Linked DNA regions of Stegostoma tigrinum. The protein of the gene in region 2 interacts with the protein of the main gene of each other region in a biochemical or structural test. Links are inferred from orthologs where the notes say so. Each region holds a gene or a part of one and is shown on either strand. Other genes may lie near its edges. The genes, in order: sparc, collagen alpha-1(I) chain-like and thbs1b.

Region 1 (7,042 bases), on a different chromosome or scaffold from region 2:
ACACCCCATCCCCTCAGCCCACCCCAAAGCCCCGGCACGTCGCCCAAAAAAGCAAACATTACTGCACACATTTCGTAAGTGAATGGGAGCTGACGAAGCAGCATCAGTTGAATTTATTGCCCATTGCAAGTCACCGTTTAAGTCAAAGGGATTCTGGAATGACAACCAACCAGCGCCCGTGTGGAACGTACCGAGACAAGCCTCCCGCTTTCTGTCCTGTATTGAAATGCTTAGTTGTACACTAACCTACAGAATAAACTGACCCTCTAGATTAGCATAGCTGCCGGAAGGTAGGTCTCCGAAATCTGCAAGGATATTGTCGGAATTCTGCCAACGGAGAAGATCTATTTCGCAGTGACATTCCGGACACCCTTGTGAAACAGTGAAGTCAAAAAGAGGCAATTTGAGAGGAATGAAGTCAGATCAATGGTCACTTTTAATAGCTCTGACTTGGTGAGTGGGAGATCAGTCTGAAGTAATTCTAGCCTCTTCCCCCACCCTCCATCCTCCTCACTTACCCTTTTCCGAATTCCTCTCCTCTCCTAGAGTGAGCCCATGCACACAAAACGTCAGCTCAGTTCACAACTACTGCCAGAACTACAGAGTTTTGCCAGCACTTTCTAGAATTTACTTGTGTTTGTTTTCAATAAACATATTCATTTACAAATCAGATAAATCGGATTTCACCTCCTTGATTAATCGTCAAAATTTAAGGCACTTGAGCAGCGAGTCAAAGTTGAGTTGCCTCCTATAGAACCACATTCCTCTGCCTGGTCGCTTCATGCACTTCTGTTCTGCTTTGGATGCATTATATGTTCTGTTAAGAAACTTTCAGTGTAAAATTGTATTTTACCTTACTCTATGACTCTGAGCTCCGCAATCCTACTTATGGTGTTTCAGGAACAAAGAAAAAAAAGGAATTGCTGGAGAAACTCAGCCGGTCTGGCAGAGTCTGTAGAGAGAAAGCAGAGATAACGCCTCCAGTCCAGTGACCCTTTCTTCAGAACTGAAAATGTTAACTCTGTTTTTCGCTCTCCACTAGTGCTGCCAGACGTGCCGAGTTTCTGAAGAAACTACTGGCTCTGTTTCAGATTCCCAGCATCCGCCGTGCTGTGTTGTATGATGGTGTTTTAGTATCGTGTACACACTGGGTGGGCATTGATATTTGCTCACATTGTACTAACTGGTATATGACATTGCGGTGTAGCAACTTCAGCCGAATGCTAGCCATTTTGTTCCACCGTTAACCTGCTCGCTTAGGACCACTGCTCACCGTGTATACTCTCCCCCTTCATGATAACCGAAACTCATACAGTCAAAGAGGGGGATACTGGACATTGACTGGAGGGAGCATACTTTTAGAAAAAAAAGATAGTGGGCGTGTTTTGGTAGAAGGGGGTGGAAGGACGTAGTGGCAAATTGTTGTATCAGTTTTTTTTTCATTCCTACAGCCACCCACCCGAAACGAAACGAGGAGATAATAAACTGTCGACAGATGTTGACCAGCCCTGCTGGTATCCAGCTGTTTGCACCTGCTAAGCTGGTCCAGCAAGAACTAACCCTACAGCTAACACACACAGGAGTCAGCCAGGGATACATCTGGTGAATTAACCGCCCCCAAACCCTTCCCACCCATCAGCCATGCAGAGATAACCCCCGCCCCCCCTTTCCAATCTCGCAGATCCCAGGTTCACTTCATAATGCGCGGTTAGTGAGCTTTTAGCCCGCAAGGTGCATGTTGGAGATGAACCCATTCGAAATCGTCCCCGTTAGCGGTCTTCGTGCAAAATGCAGTTAAAACACCGTTCCGAACAAGCGGAATTCACTCGAATCTATGTTACATTTGAAAATCATACATCTCGGAAAGTTCCTCATTTCCTTAAAAATAATAAATAGGCTTTAATAACTGGCAAAAACTGCAGACGGGGCATTTCACGATAGTGTTAGGTTCATTAAAGAGAGACTTTCTAGCAAATGAATCAAATAAAAACACAATTACATAATACGACGAATGTGCCATGTTAACCTTATTATTTTAAAAAAGTAATTACGTTAAGAGTTTTGTTTGGAATTGCAGAAATTGTTAAGAGCAAGACGAATTAACGGCTCCCAACATTTCAAAAAGTAGTTGTTAAAGGCAATTTCGATTAAACAAAACACACAGGGAGTGGTCGCGTTCTGTCGAGTAGATAGAGGGTGAGGCGCATGTCCTTTGTTAGATTATATCCGATCCTTGCCCGAAACAGTGACAAGAGCAACTTCGTCTCAGTTACTGTACCACGGATCTTTCTCACTCGGACATAGCTCTGAAATGTGAGCTACTCTCCCTGCTTCGTGGTAGGGAAGGCGCCTGTGTGCGCATACTGGGGCGTTAGATTTGAACCGTGCTCAGCTTCCTTGCCTTCATGAAAAGATCCGTAAATGGCCCCAGATGAATCAAGTCACCTGCTTGGTAACGGGATTCACAACCGGAGAAACATTTTTATAAAAGCTTATCGGGGGGGGGGGGGGGGGAGTGAAATCTTTCAACTTTGTAGAACTTTGCACCGTCCAGATCGGCTTTATCAAGAGTAGACTAAATATTAAAACCTAAGGGCACGGTAAATCCTAAAGCGTCTTGCACTATTGCGGTAAACAAAGAGAGTCCTTGAGAAATAGCCCATGGACTAACAGTCGAAAGAAAGCCTTTGTTAACCGTTAGGATCATCTTAATAACATTGCACTATAAGTCAATGGGCGGTATGCAGAAGTGACAGATAAGGGTCGGCAGAAAAAAAGATCTTAGAAGGATGCAATCTCAAAACACGCGGCTTACTTTTAATAACATCGTGAATTGAACATATCCGCAGAAATACCAAAGGAATAGCTTTGGAAAACTAACTGGAAAAAAAATCAGTAGCTCATACCTCAAGAAGGAGAAGACTGCACGGTAGTGAGAGAGCACCAGGCTAACTGAGGCAATGGAAGAATCTGACTCTTTAGAGTCAACTGGCAGGAAATGAAGCAATGATATCCCGGGTGGGCCGGCTCTCTCTCTCCCTCTCTCTCTATCCCTCCCCCACTTCAAATTGTTCTGGTTGGAAAATCAAATGCATAGTTTGCTATTGGAACGCACTCTCTATCGCAGACCAGAACAATCTATCCCACTCCCTTATTTGGACAGATTCGCTGCACCATTTCCATAATGCTACATTATAGCACGAAACAGCACAATTCTATTCAATTAAGTGTACTTCTGCTTCTGTTTGTGTATGATGCCTGCAAATATTAATTAATTAGCAGTGGTTCATCCTTACTTCAGTAATCGTTTCTTTTTGCCTCAGTCTGGCAGTGTTTTCAGAACGAAACAAACATCTGGTTTTTGTTTTATTTGGCGTGGGGTGGGGTGGTGGAGGTGGAATGGAGTGGTGAACTGTCAACGTGGCAACTGCATATCTACGTGGTCCAAATTTACATGTAAAGCAACCCAGCGATGGAGGCAGTGCAGATAATTACCAAGGTCCATCTCAGTAGACGTGGCTCTCAGCTGCACCCTCCATAAACATGCTCTAACATAGCTCCTGCAGTGGAATTCACTGATTATCTCCTTAAGAATGTACTTCGGTGCCGTTTTTATGCATTTCCGAAATAAAGATATACAACTCTTAAGCAAAAATATGATTCTTATAAATAAAACTTTAGAAATGTACCAAATTTGATTTTTAATGCACCTTTGTTCAAATTATCGTTTTGAATCTTTGAGGGTTCTTCTATCTGGGTTTGCATTTGCTGAGATCATGGCAATAATTTTAATTAAATTATACCCACTAAAGTGCGCTTAATATCCACATCATATTAAGCTAAACAACAGCAAAGATATCTGTCCCTGTGTCCTGGCCAATATTTATCCCTCAACCAACATGAAAATAATGTGCATGATCTCATTACTACCTATGGCACCTTACTGTTTCTTACAGTGACCGGTCATAGCTGTATAATTATAATGCTGTACATCTTGCAAATATAACTGAATTGCTTTTTAGAATAGTTGAAGACTCACGCAAAATGGCTTCAAGAATTCAATGGTTCCCTCAGTCAGCTTGTATTGGGACTAGACTGTACTTACATGGGAATAAATCATGAGACTTTTTGAAATTAAATTAATATTTCCAAGGGTAAGCTTGACAATCATTTCCTTGAATGTATGAATAGTTCTTCCTAGTTCACCAAAAGAGACTAGCAATGAAAGCCAGGCTGTGACAATTATAAAAAAAAGTTACTTTCCACATTGGAACCCAGGCCTTGGCCAACTATTGAATTTGGGAACATGATGCAACAGTTTTTAGGATAGCACTCATTTGAAATCTTGATCTGTTTAAAACATTTTATGTAAGACCCCACTCCCAAACTGGAAGAGCCATGCCAGACATCATGGGCCTGGGGGAGGGTTCTCAGCCAAAGGAGTAAAAGGAAGAAGACATACAGACATCAGTTGCTGTTCTGCCAAAAAAGTCAAGGCAACCTGAAAGTTCCAGAATGACAGAGCCAGCAAAGAACAAGAATCTCTCTCTTCCAAATTATTCTAATGTGATGGATCCAACCATGCAGACAGCAATCAACTATTCAACTACAGAAGCTATTACAGCTGTTGAATCTGAATTCCAAGTTTTAACAAAGTATCATTAGATCTGAAACATTGACTCTGCTTTCTCTCCACAGGTGCTGCCTGGCCTGCTGAGTTTCTCCAGCAATTTCCGTTTTTGTTTCAGATCTGCAACATCCACAGTGATTTATTTGATTTATTGCTGTTTTCAACCCCTTCGTTTCAGAAGGAGAAAGCTTTATGTGAGTAGGCCTGCAACAATCTTGGCAATACAGTGTATTTTCATCTTATGCCAATGTTTTATTCTTATTCACAATCAATCTTTGTATCCAAATGCCAGCTCATGTGTTTGTCACTTCTTGCTTAAATAGTGTCCAGCAAAGTTGTGTAATAATTCAACCTTTCATCTTGCTTAATGCATAACATTGTGTTACCAGTTATTTTTTAAATTGAAACATTTGGAAACTAAATGTGGGCCGCAAACAAGCTCTATAAATTCACAGTTAATCAACTGTGAGGACATGCCTGATGTGGCTATGACTGTCTATAGTCTAAAAATGCTTAATTGGCTGTAAAACATATTTTAAGTTTCAAAAAATGCTACATAAATGCCAGAATATTTTTATACCTCCAATGCTTAAGCCATTTCTATTCACAACCAGTGTGGAGACCACTGTTAGTTAATGCCCAATACAAGATGTTTGCTTATAATAAATTTCACTGCCTGATAACGTGCAATGTCCAGATCCTGTTTTTCATTCCAAGTCTACTTATATCTATTTGGATAGTTCTATTCATTCCCATTTTCAAGTTTATGCCTTTCCCAATTGTGATAATGGCTCAACTCTATCCTATCCAAAGGAATAGTTGGAGGACATTTAGCCTCTCAAGTTTGTTCCACCATTCAAGTAGAAAATGGTTGATATGTACCTCAACACTGAAACCTTTCTTTACTCCAATATCCTTGATAACATGACTACAAAATCTTACTGATGGTCTTAAAAATTTCAATTTATCCAGCCCCCATACCCAAATTTTGATTCTGATTTTTGTGAGAAATTGCATCTTACTTCCACCGTTAGGAGTGCAGCACATTCACTGAATCTTCTCTATGCTTTGCATTCCAGGCTTTTCCAATACCTTGGTACATACCTCTCACTTTCTGTGACAAACCAGGATTCAATGTGTCTTTCAAAATATTATTCCATTTTGCATTGATGTAATGCACTATTACTAAACAAATATTTTCCTCTTACAATCTCTAAATTTTGTTTTTATCCACTTGGCCACCTTGGCCTTCTCTCTGTTTTGGCATCTTATGAACTACATCTTACCTTTAATATACATATCCAATGATTAATCATATTCTTTTCTATTCTTTGTAGTGTGCCTTTCTCCGATGCTATCTTAGATTTCAAAACTGAATGGAGATCCATGTAAAATTAAGACCATCACACAACTAGAAGTAAGAATATGAGAAAATTCTTCAGCCCCTCGAGCCTGTTCCGCAATTCAATAGGATCATGGCTGATCCGACGCTCACATCCACTTTCCCCATAATACTTGATTTCCTCATTGATCAAGAATCTATCTATCTCAGCCATAAAATATACACAAGGACTTTGCCCCAGAAGCTCTGGCAGGGACTTCCAAAGGCTCACAACCCTCTGAGAGAAACAAAATTCCTCCTCGTCTCCATCTTAAATTGCTTCTTTATTCTGAGGTCATGCATTCTCATCCTAGACTCTCCCATGACGGGAAGTATTCTTCAGCATTTACCCTGTCAAGCCCCTTAAGCACCCTATATGATTCAATGAGATCACCTCTCATTCTTCTCAACTGCAGTGAGTAGAGTCCCAACCTGTTTAATCTTTAGTCATAAGTCAATCTCTCCAAACCAGTAAACATCCTGGGGAACCTTCTCTGAACTGCCTGCAAAGAGCTAATATATTTTCTTAGATAAGGAGACCAAAACTCCTCACAACACTCCAATGTGGTTTCACCAACACCTAGTACAGTTGCAGTAAGATTCCCCTGCTCATTCTCCAATCGCTTTGAAATAATGACCAATATTCTATAAACCGTTAGATAACACAGTGTGAAGCTGGATGAACACAGCAGGCTAAGCAGCATCGGAGGAGCAGGAAAGGTGACGTTTTGGGTCAAGACCCTTCTTCAGAAAATCTATAAACCCTTCCTGATTCCCTTTTGTACCTGTGTGCTAGCTTTCTGTGTTTTGTGCACAAGTACCCCCAACTCCCCTTGTGTTACAGCTTTCTGCAGTTTTGCTTCATTTAAATAATATTCTGTTCTTTTGTTCTCCCTTACAAAATGAACAACTTCACATTTTTATAGCTTATACTCCATTTGCCAATTTGTTGCCACTTTTTAACCTATTAATATCTCTCTGTAAATTGTTTGTAAGCCTCTTGCAACCTCCGTTTCCACCTAATTTTATAT
Region 2 (7,034 bases):
ATTACAATTAAAATTGCAAATAAAGGTAAAGTTAATAAATGTTCAACTTCTGTGTGTTTAAAATATCTTTTGTTAACCTGGAAATAAAAAGCATTTCTATTTACCTGAATACCAGGGCCAGAGGGATACTGGAAAGAAAAATTAATAAGTCAGTGTGTGGATATGTGTTACAAGTAACCATGTAAATATTTCATTGTTGTATTGTCTAAGTGAATATGATGTACTTACTGTTTCTCCACCTTCTGCTGTAACAAAATAAAAAGAGCTTAATTTATAAACACATTTTCAAAAACAACGGAAAGCATTGTAATTATTGCTCATAAACAGCTTATAGTTTATTTACTGCACATATGTTTTTTAGGGAGGAGAGTGCAAAAGGAAATTACTTCTAAGACTCCTTCCGGTTTTGCTCTACTTGGGCCTGTGACATGTTCATTGAATCATTCAATGATGTCATAGCTAAAACCCATAATGCTTAAATTGGTTTAAAGAAAACCTCTATCAGATCAAATGATTCAGAAAAAGACAATAACCTGGGTTTTTAAAAAAATCAAAGACACTCAATTAAATTAAAATTAAAAGCGGTTTGTTTATTGTGGCTGTGGTACTTTTGTGTTAAATAACCCCTTAACGTTCACTGTCACTTTCACCATGAAATGGCAAAACATTTCCTGCAAATCATAAATGCTGACGGACTAGTATAATGTAATCATTACTGGTTTTGAAGTGAATTCACCTAAAGCTTTCAAACGTAATGTGTATTTTGTCACTAGGTTTAAAAAGCAATGTTTAGAATTGTCCATTCGAGTGGATACTTCATTCCACTTCCAGTTGCTGCCGCGCAGCAACTATTGCTACCTTTTCCTAAACTACATTGCTGTTGATAATTGAGTTTGGGAATGTAAGGCGATGATATAAGTTGTCAGGTGGCTGGCGGAGAGCACTTAAAGGCGCCTTCGAACAATTGACTAGGGACCACAGCAAACACTCACGATCTTTTTCGGGGCAGACGGGGCAGCATTCTCCGTCGCGCACTTCGGCATTGGGGCAGTCGATGGTTTCCTCGCAGATTATTTCGTCACAAAGGACCCGGCCATTGTCGCAGACGCAAATCAGGCAGGGTTCGGGTTTCCAGATATCCTTGTTTTCGAACGTTTCTCCATCCTTGTAGCAGCTAGGTCCGCTATCTGAGAATCAAACGGGATATATCAACCGCGGTGATACCAAACGCCCTCTAATGGGCAGAAAGGCAAGAACGCCTTTGGGGGAAAAAGTGACAAACTTCAAAGGGACGAGAAACTGTATGCAGATTCATGTTGAGCTATTTATTTTGTATCCCAAACAGCCTAAGATAGAACTGATAACACTACTCCTCAATTTAAAAAGAACATGCACTTTTGACATTGTGACCTGTATGGAATACAAGAATTTTCGACATTTAAGTTTTAACAATGCACCAAGTATTTTGGTCTTTAGTTTAAAGGCGTTGCTTTAGTGACACAAGCTCGCAAGCCAAGATTATCAGGCGAGAAATTCAACAGATGGCGCTCAAGCTCCACCTCAGATTTAGCACTGCAGTAAACCGCACAAAAGTGCATCCGACTCAAATCATTTTTTAGTCAATGGTACGCAGTTTCATTTAAAACACGTCCCGTGCAGAATTGTTAATGTGGTGGTGGAGTAAATCAGAGTTAAAGTGGATTTCTGACGAAGAGTCATATCGTACTCAAAACGTTAAACTCTTTCTCTCTCCACAAACGCTGCCAGCCCTGCTGAGTTGCTTTTTCCGCCAGTTTTGTCTGTTTTAAATTAGAAGATCCTGGTTGTCTTGGGGAAAAAAAGCCAGTTTACAATAGCTACCATTTTAACATGTTGCCTAGAGATGGCGCTGTTAAGCCACAGCACTGGACTGCTACTCAGAACTTGCTTGGCTTTGAAAACAATGTCTAAACATCTGGATTGCTTCTATTCCGAACACCGGACATTTTTTTCCCCTCAAACAACTTCGTTTCTTGGCTTGAACTTTAAATACGCTAATTTTCGGAATTGGAACAATTTCGATTTTCTTTAAAAGCTACCTTATGTCTGAAAATCGATTTGTGGCTGCAAACTAAACAGAACTAGGCAAAAATCACTAAAACTCAAACCCAGATTTTACCGCTTTATGCATTTTATTCAATTTAATAATATTTTAAGTGTATTTTAATTCGCGTTGTGCTCTGTTTTCCATCTGTTTGACACTATTTTCCATTTGGACCCAATTTATTCGAAATTCGCCACAAAGGATCTGCTCCAAAGTGACACACCCACTATCAAAGGCAGCTGCTTTCAACCAATTGTCTGGTCGAGACTCCTTCACTCCAACTAATATGGTCCCAACAATTGTCTGTGTTCTGTTTCCCTTTCTTAAACGGGGTGGATACTGCAATTCTTGTGGGCTGGCGGAGAAGTTAGACAGTCTGACAGCCACGTAATACACAAATGTAGTTTCTTTTAATGCACCCATCCCTTAGAGATCGAAAAACCATTCCATAAAAGGAAAATCGTTGCGGTAATCTATTTCAAATCGTTTGCATAGTTCGAACAAAACGCAACAAGCTTTCGGAATGCTCCAAACATTACCGTCTGAAGCTAACATCAGGAAAATGTTGCCTGACATTTTTTCAATCGACAATCCTGCAAGTCAATTTCACATTAGAGCTTTCTTTGCAAAGTTTTAACAGAATTCAAAGTTGTGCATCCCTCTCCCGTTAGGTCGATCGTAGCGTTCGCCTCTTAAGCGGGCGATAGACGGGAGATTTTTCGAAACAGTTCTTCAGGACGAAACAGAAGGAAAACGAGAAAGGAACACTTACTGTCATCGTCCGCTTGACATCTTCCCACCACTAACGTTGCTGCCAGCAACAGCAAAGTCCGCGTATCCACAAAGCTGAACATGTCTAAATATTAGACATGTAGACTCTTTGGGGTAAAAAAAGGGAAACTTTCTTTAACGTCCGGACATGCAATGGTTCTGGTGTGTAATTCCAAGCTTCAGCACCGAGCCCCAGCAGAAACTTCCTACTGTTCCGTTTGCAGATCGCCTGCCCTTTTATGTGTGCCAGGCTTTGGAGGTGTGAATAGTTGCCGCCCATCTCCACCAGTGACCCCCCCCCGCCACCAAACAAATCTCCTCCTCCAGTTGGAAACCGGCAAAGTCCCCGCCTGCGGCAGGATCCAATTGTCTCTGACCATCCACTAACATGTACGTAGATGCCTTCCTCCAATCGGGGTGGGAAGAGGGAATTCTGGATGGCTGGTGTGAACCGCCATGTGGCTGTTGGACTCATACTTGCACTCCATGCCCTGCCTCCTTCTCTATACATCACCCCCCCCCCCCCGCCCTAACCCCGACGCAAGACCCATTTAATTTGATGAACCATAATTCTTTTCCTAAAACCTATTCTTCTTCAGACACGGGCACATCATTTTTCAAAGGCACTTTTTTTTTTATTGGCTTCGTTTCAGAGGCTGTTACAGAGCAGAGAGACACGTTGAAGCATGACTGGGTCAAAGAAGGGCTGGAAAACTTTCAACTGAAGGAACGGCTTAGCTCTTCCTAACCAACATACACGTAATCACTTTTATTGATACGCCAACTCATCAGTTTTTTTTCAGAAAAACACGAAAGTTGGGGAGTAATTGGTGAGGAAACCTCCAAGAAACTAGACTTGAAAAGATCCAAATCAAATGTTTCCCGGATTTTAGATGAGACACATTTAAACGCAGAAATAAGTCAAATTGTCAATGTTGTGATCACTTTTCTGCATTTTATTTCCCCTTATGGAATCACCCGTCGCCTAGTGTGAATCTAACAAAGAGATTACTCTGTAATCATGGACTTGCTGTTGAAATAGCAATTTTCAATCAGCAGCATTAGAATTGAAATATAAAAACCGAAAGGTCATAAACCTGAGGGGTTTAACAGTGGCATGATTCCCCGAGCGGAACTCGATTGGTTTCAGCTAAAACATTTGCACCTTGCTAGCATTGCATGACAACGAATTAGGCTGCTCTGTGTTTTTGTTTTGTTTGCAACTATTTGATTGTTACTTTATAAACAACACCTGTGAGGATGTCGATTTTTTTTTCATGCCTCAGCACTCTTATTTTCGTAAGGATAACCTGGTGTGGGGGCTGGGGAGGAGAGTTGGAAAGTTGAGATGTGGCAGAGAGACGGGTATGTGGTTGCTTCTTTCCCAAAGGAAACGACATCGAAATGAACGTGCCCCCGAATCATCCTGCTCCCAGGATTTAATAATTTGGGATGTGACGCTTGATCGAAACCTGTAGTGTACTGTAATTTTTATGAAAAGCAGCAATGTTTCAGTAAGTCACATAAAATGATAACAGTTCAACTTTCTTATTTTTAGAGGTTTAAAAAATAACGACATAAAGTGACAATTCGTTCCAGAACAAACCAACAGCTAAAGGGAACTCCCAGAGCGAACACACTAAATTTTCCCCCAGTTACGAAATCCTTTTCTCATAACGTGGAGGATTTGACAGAACCAAAGCAGGGGTTTCAAGTCACGGGCGATGTATTAATATATTCGTTTAGCTCACTCTGTGATAGTTGGGTGAATTGGTGACACGTCTGAAAACGCTTTTGCAAAGCCCGCGGTGTATGTGGTAACCATGTAGCGCTGCTGAAAAGATCATCAAGAAGCAGTTGAGCAAAATTCCTTGTGGGCTGCACGTTTCCTACCACGAACGGTGCACTCCAAGACAGTGTTGGGTGGGGCGATAGGAGATTTCCCAGTATTTAGAAGGTGTGCTACTTTGAATGTAATAATACCTGCGAATAATTGTGTTGTCACACTAAAAGCATCACAACTGCTGTGTTCACCTTCCACTTTGATTTATTGCGCACATTAACACGTTTGAGACTTGCATCCACCTGGGCTTGTGCTTCAATTGCGTTTGGCGAGTGGCATAAAACGCAACGGATCGCTGTATCCTGGGTTTAGAAGTGGTCCCCTTTCTCTGTCTTTGCCTGAACTGACAGTTCCCCGCACAGTGATTAGCCTGAAGCCCCTGAGCTCGACCTCAGGAGACTTCTCTACCAGCTTCCCTTACGTAACGATGGAAGAATTGTTCGGAGGAGCAGTATTTTCTATATTGAGACCACTGAGGGAGAAGGTTCTACAGGTGGTGTGGGTGGAGGGTCAATTTTTAGTTTATATAAGTCGGAGGTGAATGTTTAATTCAATACAGTTGGGGAGGGCTCGGTGCACTTATACAAACCAGATGGAATCACTAGTTCGCCTCAGTCGATCAAATCTGAACAAAAAGATGAGAAACGTATATATTTTTTTCCTGTTGAAGTTATATTCCTGACCCAAAACAACCCAAATATGAACATTGAAAAGATTCTCCCGAACTGCTCAGTGATTTCTCTTTCTGATACCGAGTAGACAGCTCCACATCTGGGATGCGTTAAACTCGCTTACATCAACACTATTCCAGTTGCAGATGGGATGAATTAGTTAACATGTTTTTTTGGATCCCAAAGAAGAAAGGCAGGAATGTCAGGCTCTATGGCGTTATGGTATTCACTGTAATAGTAGGCAAAGAAAATAGTTAAGGATTCCGATTAAATTCACTATATCGTTCTTGAGTCCGGGCTGTTTTGGGAGAATTAAAATCAATGATGCTTTTTAAATTATTTGGTGCAAACACCATTTCCCATCGAACGGTGCTAGCAACCCCTGTCGCCGTTCGCAGTGTCTACGTGGTGCTCTTGAAGAAGTAGGTGCGGTGCGAAAGAGGGCAGGTCTCTTGCAGATGGGTCACACTCATCATTACATTTCCCCTTCCCTGACCCTCGCTTCACCGTGCATGACTCAAACGCAAATTTGCACCAAACGCTGCTGTAAAACTTCAACTTGCTATATTTCTCGACTTTAAAAGACAGCTGAAATACTTTATGCATATCTTAGCTGAGCCACCAAACTGCTTCTTATGTCTCAGCACAATTGTTACAAACTACCACCTTGCCATTTGGAGTCGATTCTGCAGAATCCCCCAGCTCTGAGCGAAGCAAGCCCAGCTTGAGACGTGCTCCAGACCTATGCCATATCATTTCTGCGCAACTTGATTACAGAATATCTTGGAGTGATTTAGACCAGTCAGGTTAACTTCGGTGGTGGGGAGAAAGACTTCTAGTAGCAATTATTCGGCATCAAATTAATAGACACGTGGAACAAAACTGAGTTATTTGGGAAGAGTCATCATGCGCTCGTTCAAGGAAAATTGATTCGAACTAGCTGAAGATTTTTGAAGAGGTAATAGGCGCAGTATTAATGTGGTGCACGTGGACTTTTAAAGGGCATTGGATACCATGCCGCACGAAAGCCTTGTGACTACATTTATAGGTTATGGAATAAAAGGAACAGTAGCAAAATGGACGCAACATTGTCTGGGAGATAGGGGAGAAAGACTAATTGTGGGTACTTTTCAGGCTGGAAGAAGTTTTGTAGTGGAGTTCCCCAGGGGTCAGTGCTGGGAGTTTCTCTTTTTCTGATATACAAAGGATTTAGATCTTGTGTACAGGGGTAATTTCAACATTTGCAGACGACACAAAATTTGGTAGAATCGTAAACTGTGAGGAGGACATTGTAGAATTCCAAAACAACACTAATATTGGAGGAGTGGGTGGATTGATATCAGGATAAGCTCAATGTGGAGAAGTGTGAAGTAATACACTCTGGTAAAAAAAATGCAGAAAAAAGGGTACTGTTCTAAATGTTATACAGGAGCATAAAGATCTGGGTTTATATGTGCTCTTGTATATGAGCTTTTGTGCTCCTGAGATGCTGCTTGGCCTGCTGTGTTCATCCAGCCTCACATTTTATTATCTGGGTTTATATGTACATCAGTTATTGAAGGTGGCAGGGTAGGTACAGATTAAGCATATACTGTTGTGGGTTTTGTGAATAGGGGCATAGAGAACCAAGGGCAGGGGGTCTAGTTGGTCAGTAGGGTTATGATGA
Region 3 (6,973 bases), on a different chromosome or scaffold from region 2:
TGCCATGTGTTGTTGAGGAACCAGAAAATCCTAATTACTTTAGGAACTGCAGTGCAAGTATTTTCAGAGGCTGGAAGTGCAGAATTTGATAACAATCGGCTCAGAAAGCACACTCCAGTTGATATATTGTCTGCCCATCCCGCATATTTTGCTGATTTACATCAATTATCTGCAAATTTACTCCCTGACAAAATTACCAAGATTACGGCTTTCATACTTTTCTTCTGGAAAAAGCTTTTAACATTGTTCCAAGTAGTCAGTTCCTTTAAATTTGGTCCAGTTTATATTTGGCACAGGCTCTTCCCCTTGAAAATATTGCCCAATGCAGTGTTTCCCTACAGATATTCAAAACCACTCAAAAGCAACCCAAACAGTCCTAAGACCTGTGGCTTTCCTAATGCTTTTTAACCGTTTTGGCAGCGTTGGTGATAGTTCCAGCTACTAAGTTGGCACGACAATTGACTACTGCTAGACCATGCAATTTCAATCTGAATGCAAGTGAAACAACTTTAAGTGATTATTACAATGCAGGAATCTTTGCTATAGCTTTTTTTGGAAAAGCAAGTTAAGTTTTGAGTTGCATCAAATGTTGCGGTTTTACCTGACAAGTGCAGTCTGTGCAGTTGTCCACTTTCCATTGATCTTTGTCTTTGTAAGTCATGCCATTGTGGAAACATCCTCCTATCTGTTTGATTCCAATGCTTCTTGCAATTAATTCATTTTCTGCAGTCTAGAGGAGAAGGTAGTGACAATTCATTACAACCCCATGCACAAGTAACTAAAGTAACTTACAAAAGGCTCGATTCCTTTAGTCTCCTTACCACTTTCTGAACATTATCAACCAGCTGGGTGACCATGGTCCTGAGAGCTTGCAGTTCAGAGAACATGTTGGATAGTTCCTCGCAGGAGATGCCACAGACCGTCTGAAGATCTTTGGTTTTGTGACCATAAAAGTTGGTCCTGATGGCCGGGCTTTCAGAGCCCCTGATTGGTAAAGGAAGAATCCCTGGGGCAGCTGCAAAAATAAGAGGAGCAGTTACATGAGGGCTGGCGGTTAATGGGACACATTCTGAACTGTTCCAGCCAAGACCACTGGATAAAGTCCTTTGGGTAACAGCTCATATTTGTTTTTATGGACAAGGGTGATTCTACTCAAGAGGTTTTTAAAAGCAAAGCCTGACATGGAATGCAAGCAGCAATTCGTTCCACCCACAAAAACACAGCACCTGCATTTAGAAAGTTGATGTTGCTGGATTATTCCTGATACAATTCCGAACTCTCACTGCAGCCCGCTCGCCCCTCAAAAACACACATATAGGGCGGGGGGGGGCTCACCTCATGTGAATGAGATGGTCCCTAGTTAAGAGTTCGGGATAATCTTTGAATCTCACTAACCACTATCACTCGAGGTGAAGTAGTGCGGCTGTTTCAGCGGAGGTGAGCAAGCGCTTGTACAGGAAAATTTCCCCCGGACAGGCCCGTGTCGGATACTTACTACTGTAGCAGCCCTTGTTCATCAGAATGGTTTCCAAGTTGGTCCCAAAGACAAAGCGCACGTTCTGCAGAACTCCCTGTGTCACACAGAAGGAAGAAACAAAATTGGAGCCACTTTTTCAAAAAAACAAAATAGTAAGCCACGATTCCTTCTGCACTGCACTTTTATTTGTTAGTTAACGTCATGTCGAAAAACGCGCGAACTTCCGCTACATTTAATGCTATCTGAAGTGACTCCTCTGCCCAAATTCATTTTTGAAACAGCCTTTCGTTTACAAACCATTCAGTGCATTACCAGCCGTCCGCAGTTTCTGTAACTTGCGTCGAGTCAGTTATTGCACTGTTCCTGCCTCTGGCTGTCCCCCCTTCGTGAGTGAGTGAGTGTGACTGTGTGCGCGAATGAGAGTGAGTGAGTGAGTGAGTGTGTGTGTGTGTGTGTGTGTGTGTGTGTGTGTGTGTGTGTGTGTGTGTGTGTGAGAGAGAGAGAGAGAGAGTCTGCCCTTACCTGAAAATTGTTTCGGAGCCCAGGTCCTCCCTTAGCCAGCCTCAGGCTGTAGTCACCAGGCTTCAGCACTTTGTGAATAGCTTCCTCCAACTCCACGCCATTGACCTTCTCACATCCCACATACAGCGTGGCCACGTCCTCCTGCACGAAGAGAGTGAGGTTTTTCCAGCGGGCATTGGCCAGGTGCGCATCGGTGATGGACACCATACTCTGCTTGCCGTCGATGGTGATGGTCAGGTCGAGAGTGTTCGCCTTGCCGTTGGACAGGATCTCGAAGATGCGTGTCCCTTGCAGCGTGTCGATGGCTACTAAGGTCCCCCGGCTCTTTTTCATCTGGCGCAGGGTGGCCAGGAAAATGAATCCCTTCTCCTGCTGGATGTGATCGATCAGCTCACTGAAGCTGTTCTCCGAAGCCGGGGCAATGAGGTCAGGGTTGAGGATCCTGTAAGCCGGGCTGCTAGACTCCGGTCCCTTTACCATATGCACCCCTACATTCTTGCGAGTAAGGCCAGTGATGTCGAACAGATCAAAGACTCCATCCGCTCCGGCGTCTGTCGGGGATTAGGCAAGAGAAGGGCACACATTTAAACGCACAGCATTAACTCTTCAAAGCAAGTGACTTCAACAGGAGGGGAGCGCCAATAGCTGCGGGGGGACGTGCACTCACAACTTACCTTGGATTCGCTTGGAGGAGCAAGCAACAATCATCAAAAGGAGGAAGAGTCCGTGCAGTGGCTTCATTTCAGAAGGAACTCTCTCAGACCCTGGCATAAAAAAAGGGAGAATTTTTTTTGTTTTAGCTGCATAGAGTTTCCAAAACAATTATTCAAACTACTGTGTTACTGCTATCATCGACTGAAATGTAAACTCGTTCACTGACCAGTAGTGAAGGCTTTCAATCCTAAAATGAACAGTGCAAACAATAATAGCTCCGCGGATGGTAAACGATGGCAAATCCGAAATGTACAAGATCTGGTAAGCTGGCTTCTCAGACTCGAAACGTTACTTGTATTTTTTTTGTTTCAAAAGTCTCTCTTCACCTCGAAGTCTTTGCCTAAGAAGCAGCCCCTGAAGCTGAAGGTACCCGAGATCGATACTACTGTGAGCCTGGAGAACGGCTGCTTTAAATACCCTCTCACATTCCTCGCAGTCAGTCTCTGCCAATCACTGGCTGCCTGGGAGGAAGCGGGCTTGTGTTTATTCTGTTACCTCACAACAAGAGGGATACAGTTCCGAAGCAGTCATGACCGCACCGAGGAAAGTAATTAGGCGGATTCCAGTGGAGCTGGGCCAAAAAGACGCAAAAGAATTTTACCGAGAGGTGCGAGAGTTCTAGCCAGACCCCACCCGCCTCCGCCATCCTGTCCGTGGATCCAGATTTTGTTGCTCTAACCCAGGCAGTCCTGTGTCATACATTCCCTTCCCAGACATACCTTTATTGAGCAAAATGTAACAAGCACCTGTTGGAATATACTCTGAGTCTCCCTATGATAGGAATCTGATGGTGTGGTTTAAGAAAATGACTTTTTTTATTTCAGTGAAATGATGTATCTCGAATAAATGAAAAATCTGTTCCATAATTCCACAAATTGTGAGCTTGTGGTTATGTTGCGGTCCTGTGTTTTCGAGCTGTCCTCCGATTTCCCCACTAGGGGGAAGTGTGTCGTTTCATTTGCCGGCCAGCGAATGCTTTTCGGGTTCTCGAGTCTCGCTTGTTTCACCATCTCAGGACAGCGCGAAAGCATTTCATACCGCTTCAATCCAAATTGCAAATCGATCAGTCTCGCAGCAGATCTCGCCTTCCGACATATTTCAGCAGTGCCAACCCAAAAATGTAACTTTCCTCGATTTCATGCCACACAAAAGTATCCAGGTTGTAAACAACTTTCTAATGTCTGTAACTACACTTACGCATGGCCGAACTATATTTTCAGCGTGTTTAAAAAACTTTTGCTAAAAAGATTTTTTTAGAAGTTATTTTAGTTATTTTCCATTCCATCTCTAAGTCATTGGAGAAAATTCTGATCCTGGAAATAGTTTTTGACGTCGGTGCATTTTTTTTTGCTTACTCCTACAGTAGCGAGAGTCCGAGTATGTCAGCTTCGTCAAGATTTCCTGAGACAATAGCAGTGTACGTTTCACTCTGTGGCTTTGGCCCCTAGCTGACTCGCCTTCCAGATCTTCTGCACAGGCGAATATTTTACCAGCGCAATTTCTTCCATTGTCAACTGGCCACATGCAGTTAGGGTTTCGCACTGGTGTCAACCTGTCCAAAGAAGGGGTGAACCAACACTGCGCAATATTTCCCAAAGCCAAACAAATTTGCCTTTGCAGCTTTTGCAAGTATTCTTGTCCCACTTGACCTTGTCAAGAGGTTAAAAATCTCAGTGTCAAGAGGTTGAAAGTCTCGGATGAATCCCTTTATGGCTCGGTGTTTGTACGACGGATGGGGGTGGTCTGTGACAAGGCGCATTAGGGTTTAAAATTCTCCGGTCCATGTACAGTCCGTACTTCTCTTCGCCAGGGCTGAATTCTATGCCGAATGAAAGCAAAATACTGCAGATGCTGGAAACCTGAACCATAAGTGGAAAATGCTGCAAAATTTCTGTTCTTATTTCTGAAGTCTATGTCCTTCTTGCCAACAGTAATGAGCCTTGCTCCATAATGACTACTCACTGGAATCATAGGGTCTTTTAGACCTGAATATATTTGAGTTTGATGCATTCTGGAGTGTATGGCACCGGCTCTCAATGTGTAGTTGACTTTGTTGGTGATCTGGAATGAGCACATTTCCCAATTTTCAGTGTTGCACCCTGAATTGACCCTGCCTGTAGCTGTCAGCCCATTTGCTCTCTCTGTGCGTCCATTTAAAACCTGGATTGACTTTGCCCTGAAAGAACAAACTAACCAAAGATCTGTGAGGTTCGTTAAGCAGCCACTGATACAACATGATGGAAAAGATACAAACTACTAGTTGTGGAATCACAATTTGTTAGTAAGTGAAACAAACTGCAAATGGGGCAAGTAGACCCAACAGTGGGACAGAACAATTACTGATATATTGTTGTAGTGGGGCGGTAAGGGACAATTACATAAATGGAAAGAAAATAATTTGTGTGGAAAATTATAGCATGTTTTTGCCAGGGATCCCATTGACAATAAATTAAAGGTATTGAAACAATGTTCAGTGGTACAAATATATCAAATCAAATGTTGTGATGTATTGAAAAGTCAATATTGAACTGATACTGTGAGTTACAACTGCCACTTTACAAATCATTGATGTAACTGCACTTCGACTAAACAGTGTGAAAAGTTCTATTCACACTTGTAAAAGAGAGACATTGCAGTCAGTGAAAGAATACAGAAGATGACAACCAATGTTATTGAAAGGACGAAGAGATTGGATTATGAGCACCAATTATGTAAATTAAGCATGTTTTCATAAGTGATGAGCTGCCATTCTTCTTTACTTGGAGTGGGGCCTTATGGTGCAGCTGTCCTATTCCCCACCACTTACTAGAGGGCAGCCTCGAGGATAGGAGGCCTGGGTTCAAGTCCCATTTGCTCCAGAGGTGTATTATAACTTCTCTGAATAGGTTTCTTAGAAACAGTTAGTTGACTTCATTAGCTGTAGGGGCCATCTGAGATTGAGAAAGCTGTTACAACCATGTAAGTGTTTATATTTTTGAAAAATCTAACTGATTCTTTGTGAGGCTGTAAACCTTGCAGTCTTTATCTGATTTGATCTGTATGTTGTTGGAGTCCAGACTGATGTGGGACTTTTGATTGTCCTGTGAAACAGCCTAAAGTTCCAAAGTGGACTGCATTATTTCAGGAAGGTGGTTCACAACATTAAACACATCCCAAGACTGAATCAATGAAAACAAAAGTTAATGCATCCTGTGATAACAAGGTGTAGAGCTTGATGAACACAGCAGGCCAAGCAGCAGTAGAGGAGCGGGAAGGCTGACTTTTTGGCCCTAGACCCTCCTTCAGAAATCTTGTTATCTCAGATTCTCTAGCGTCTGCAGTTCCTACTATCTCTTAATGCATCCTGTGCTCTTTGCTGAGTCACCCAGAGCAGAAAGTTTCTCAGTTCAATTTCTTTAAATTCTCCAATTCCCCAATTTAAACTCTGATGGTCATTTCTTAAATATTTTTAATCTACCCATTTAGACATGTTATGACATCTTTGTGGGCAACTGAGATTTGAACCTAGACTTCTGACCCAGAAGCGGGGACACTACCACTACACCACAAGACCTTAAATGTCTCATTTAAGTTTTAGTCAAGATAATAAAATGTGAGGCTGTCTTTGAATCTCCAGCATCTGCAGTTCCCATTATCTCTAAGTTTTAGTCAACTTGTTCAGTGATATTTTCACAGAGTTAATAGAGCAGATGGAGCTTAAACCTGGACCTCTTAGCTCAGAGGGGCATTATCAACACACCATAACACCTTAAAACTATCAATTATGCTGCTTGTTGTTAATGCCCCCATCTGCAAACTGCATATGTTTCAATAAGCCTTAGTGCAATGAATTCATCTCATTCATCTGCTCCCACCTCCACATTTACCCTGGCCTATTCCATCCACCACTTCACGTCCCTCTCCCTCCATTCTTGCTTGCCTTCTTCCCTCCCCCTATAATCTTGAATGTTTTTTTTTCATGAAATTCTTTGGACAGAAGCAGGTATGATTCAGCCAGGGACATTTTGAGTAAGAATTGTTGGAATTGTTGAAGGAGGGGATCCTCCGTTACTTTCTAATCCCTTTGCAGGATACCCCGATATGGGGGACGAACACCCAATGACTAATAAGATAATACAGTCCACTTTTGCTTGTTATAAAAAAAACACTCGTTCCTGCCCATGTTGCAGACGGTCTGAAAATTAGACTTTGGAGTGCAGCCTCACGCATGCAGCACACAGGAATTCGCAGCGTTGAAAGATTTCATTTTCCCACACAGAG

What was found.
Region 1: the proteins of collagen alpha-1(I) chain-like (region 2) and sparc form a complex in vitro, tested with the Homo sapiens proteins (2 studies listed by BioGRID). The link is inferred for Stegostoma tigrinum from reciprocal best matches to the Homo sapiens genes COL1A1 and SPARC.
Region 3: the proteins of collagen alpha-1(I) chain-like (region 2) and thbs1b form a complex in vitro, tested with the Homo sapiens proteins (2 studies listed by BioGRID). The link is inferred for Stegostoma tigrinum from reciprocal best matches to the Homo sapiens genes COL1A1 and THBS1.

The regions. Positions count from the first base shown.
Region 1 is NC_081366.1:16,785,381-16,792,422, reverse strand, and holds the start of sparc (SPARC), read right to left. Parts: upstream 3,045-7,042; 5' UTR 2,907-3,044; intron 1-2,906.
Region 2 is NC_081384.1:21,098,541-21,105,574, reverse strand, and holds the start of collagen alpha-1(I) chain-like, read right to left. Parts: upstream 3,078-7,034; 5' UTR 2,938-3,077; coding exon 2,856-2,937; intron 1,188-2,855; coding exon 993-1,187; intron 246-992; coding exon 229-245; intron 129-228; coding exon 105-128; intron 1-104. UniProt on the Homo sapiens protein: Type I collagen is a member of group I collagen (fibrillar forming collagen).
Region 3 is NC_081363.1:68,485,407-68,492,379, reverse strand, and holds the start of thbs1b (thrombospondin-1), read right to left. Parts: upstream 3,114-6,973; 5' UTR 2,880-3,113; intron 2,764-2,879; 5' UTR 2,741-2,763; coding exon 2,674-2,740; intron 2,551-2,673; coding exon 2,000-2,550; intron 1,572-1,999; coding exon 1,496-1,571; intron 1,016-1,495; coding exon 822-1,015; intron 731-821; coding exon 602-730; intron 1-601. UniProt on the Homo sapiens protein: Adhesive glycoprotein that mediates cell-to-cell and cell-to-matrix interactions.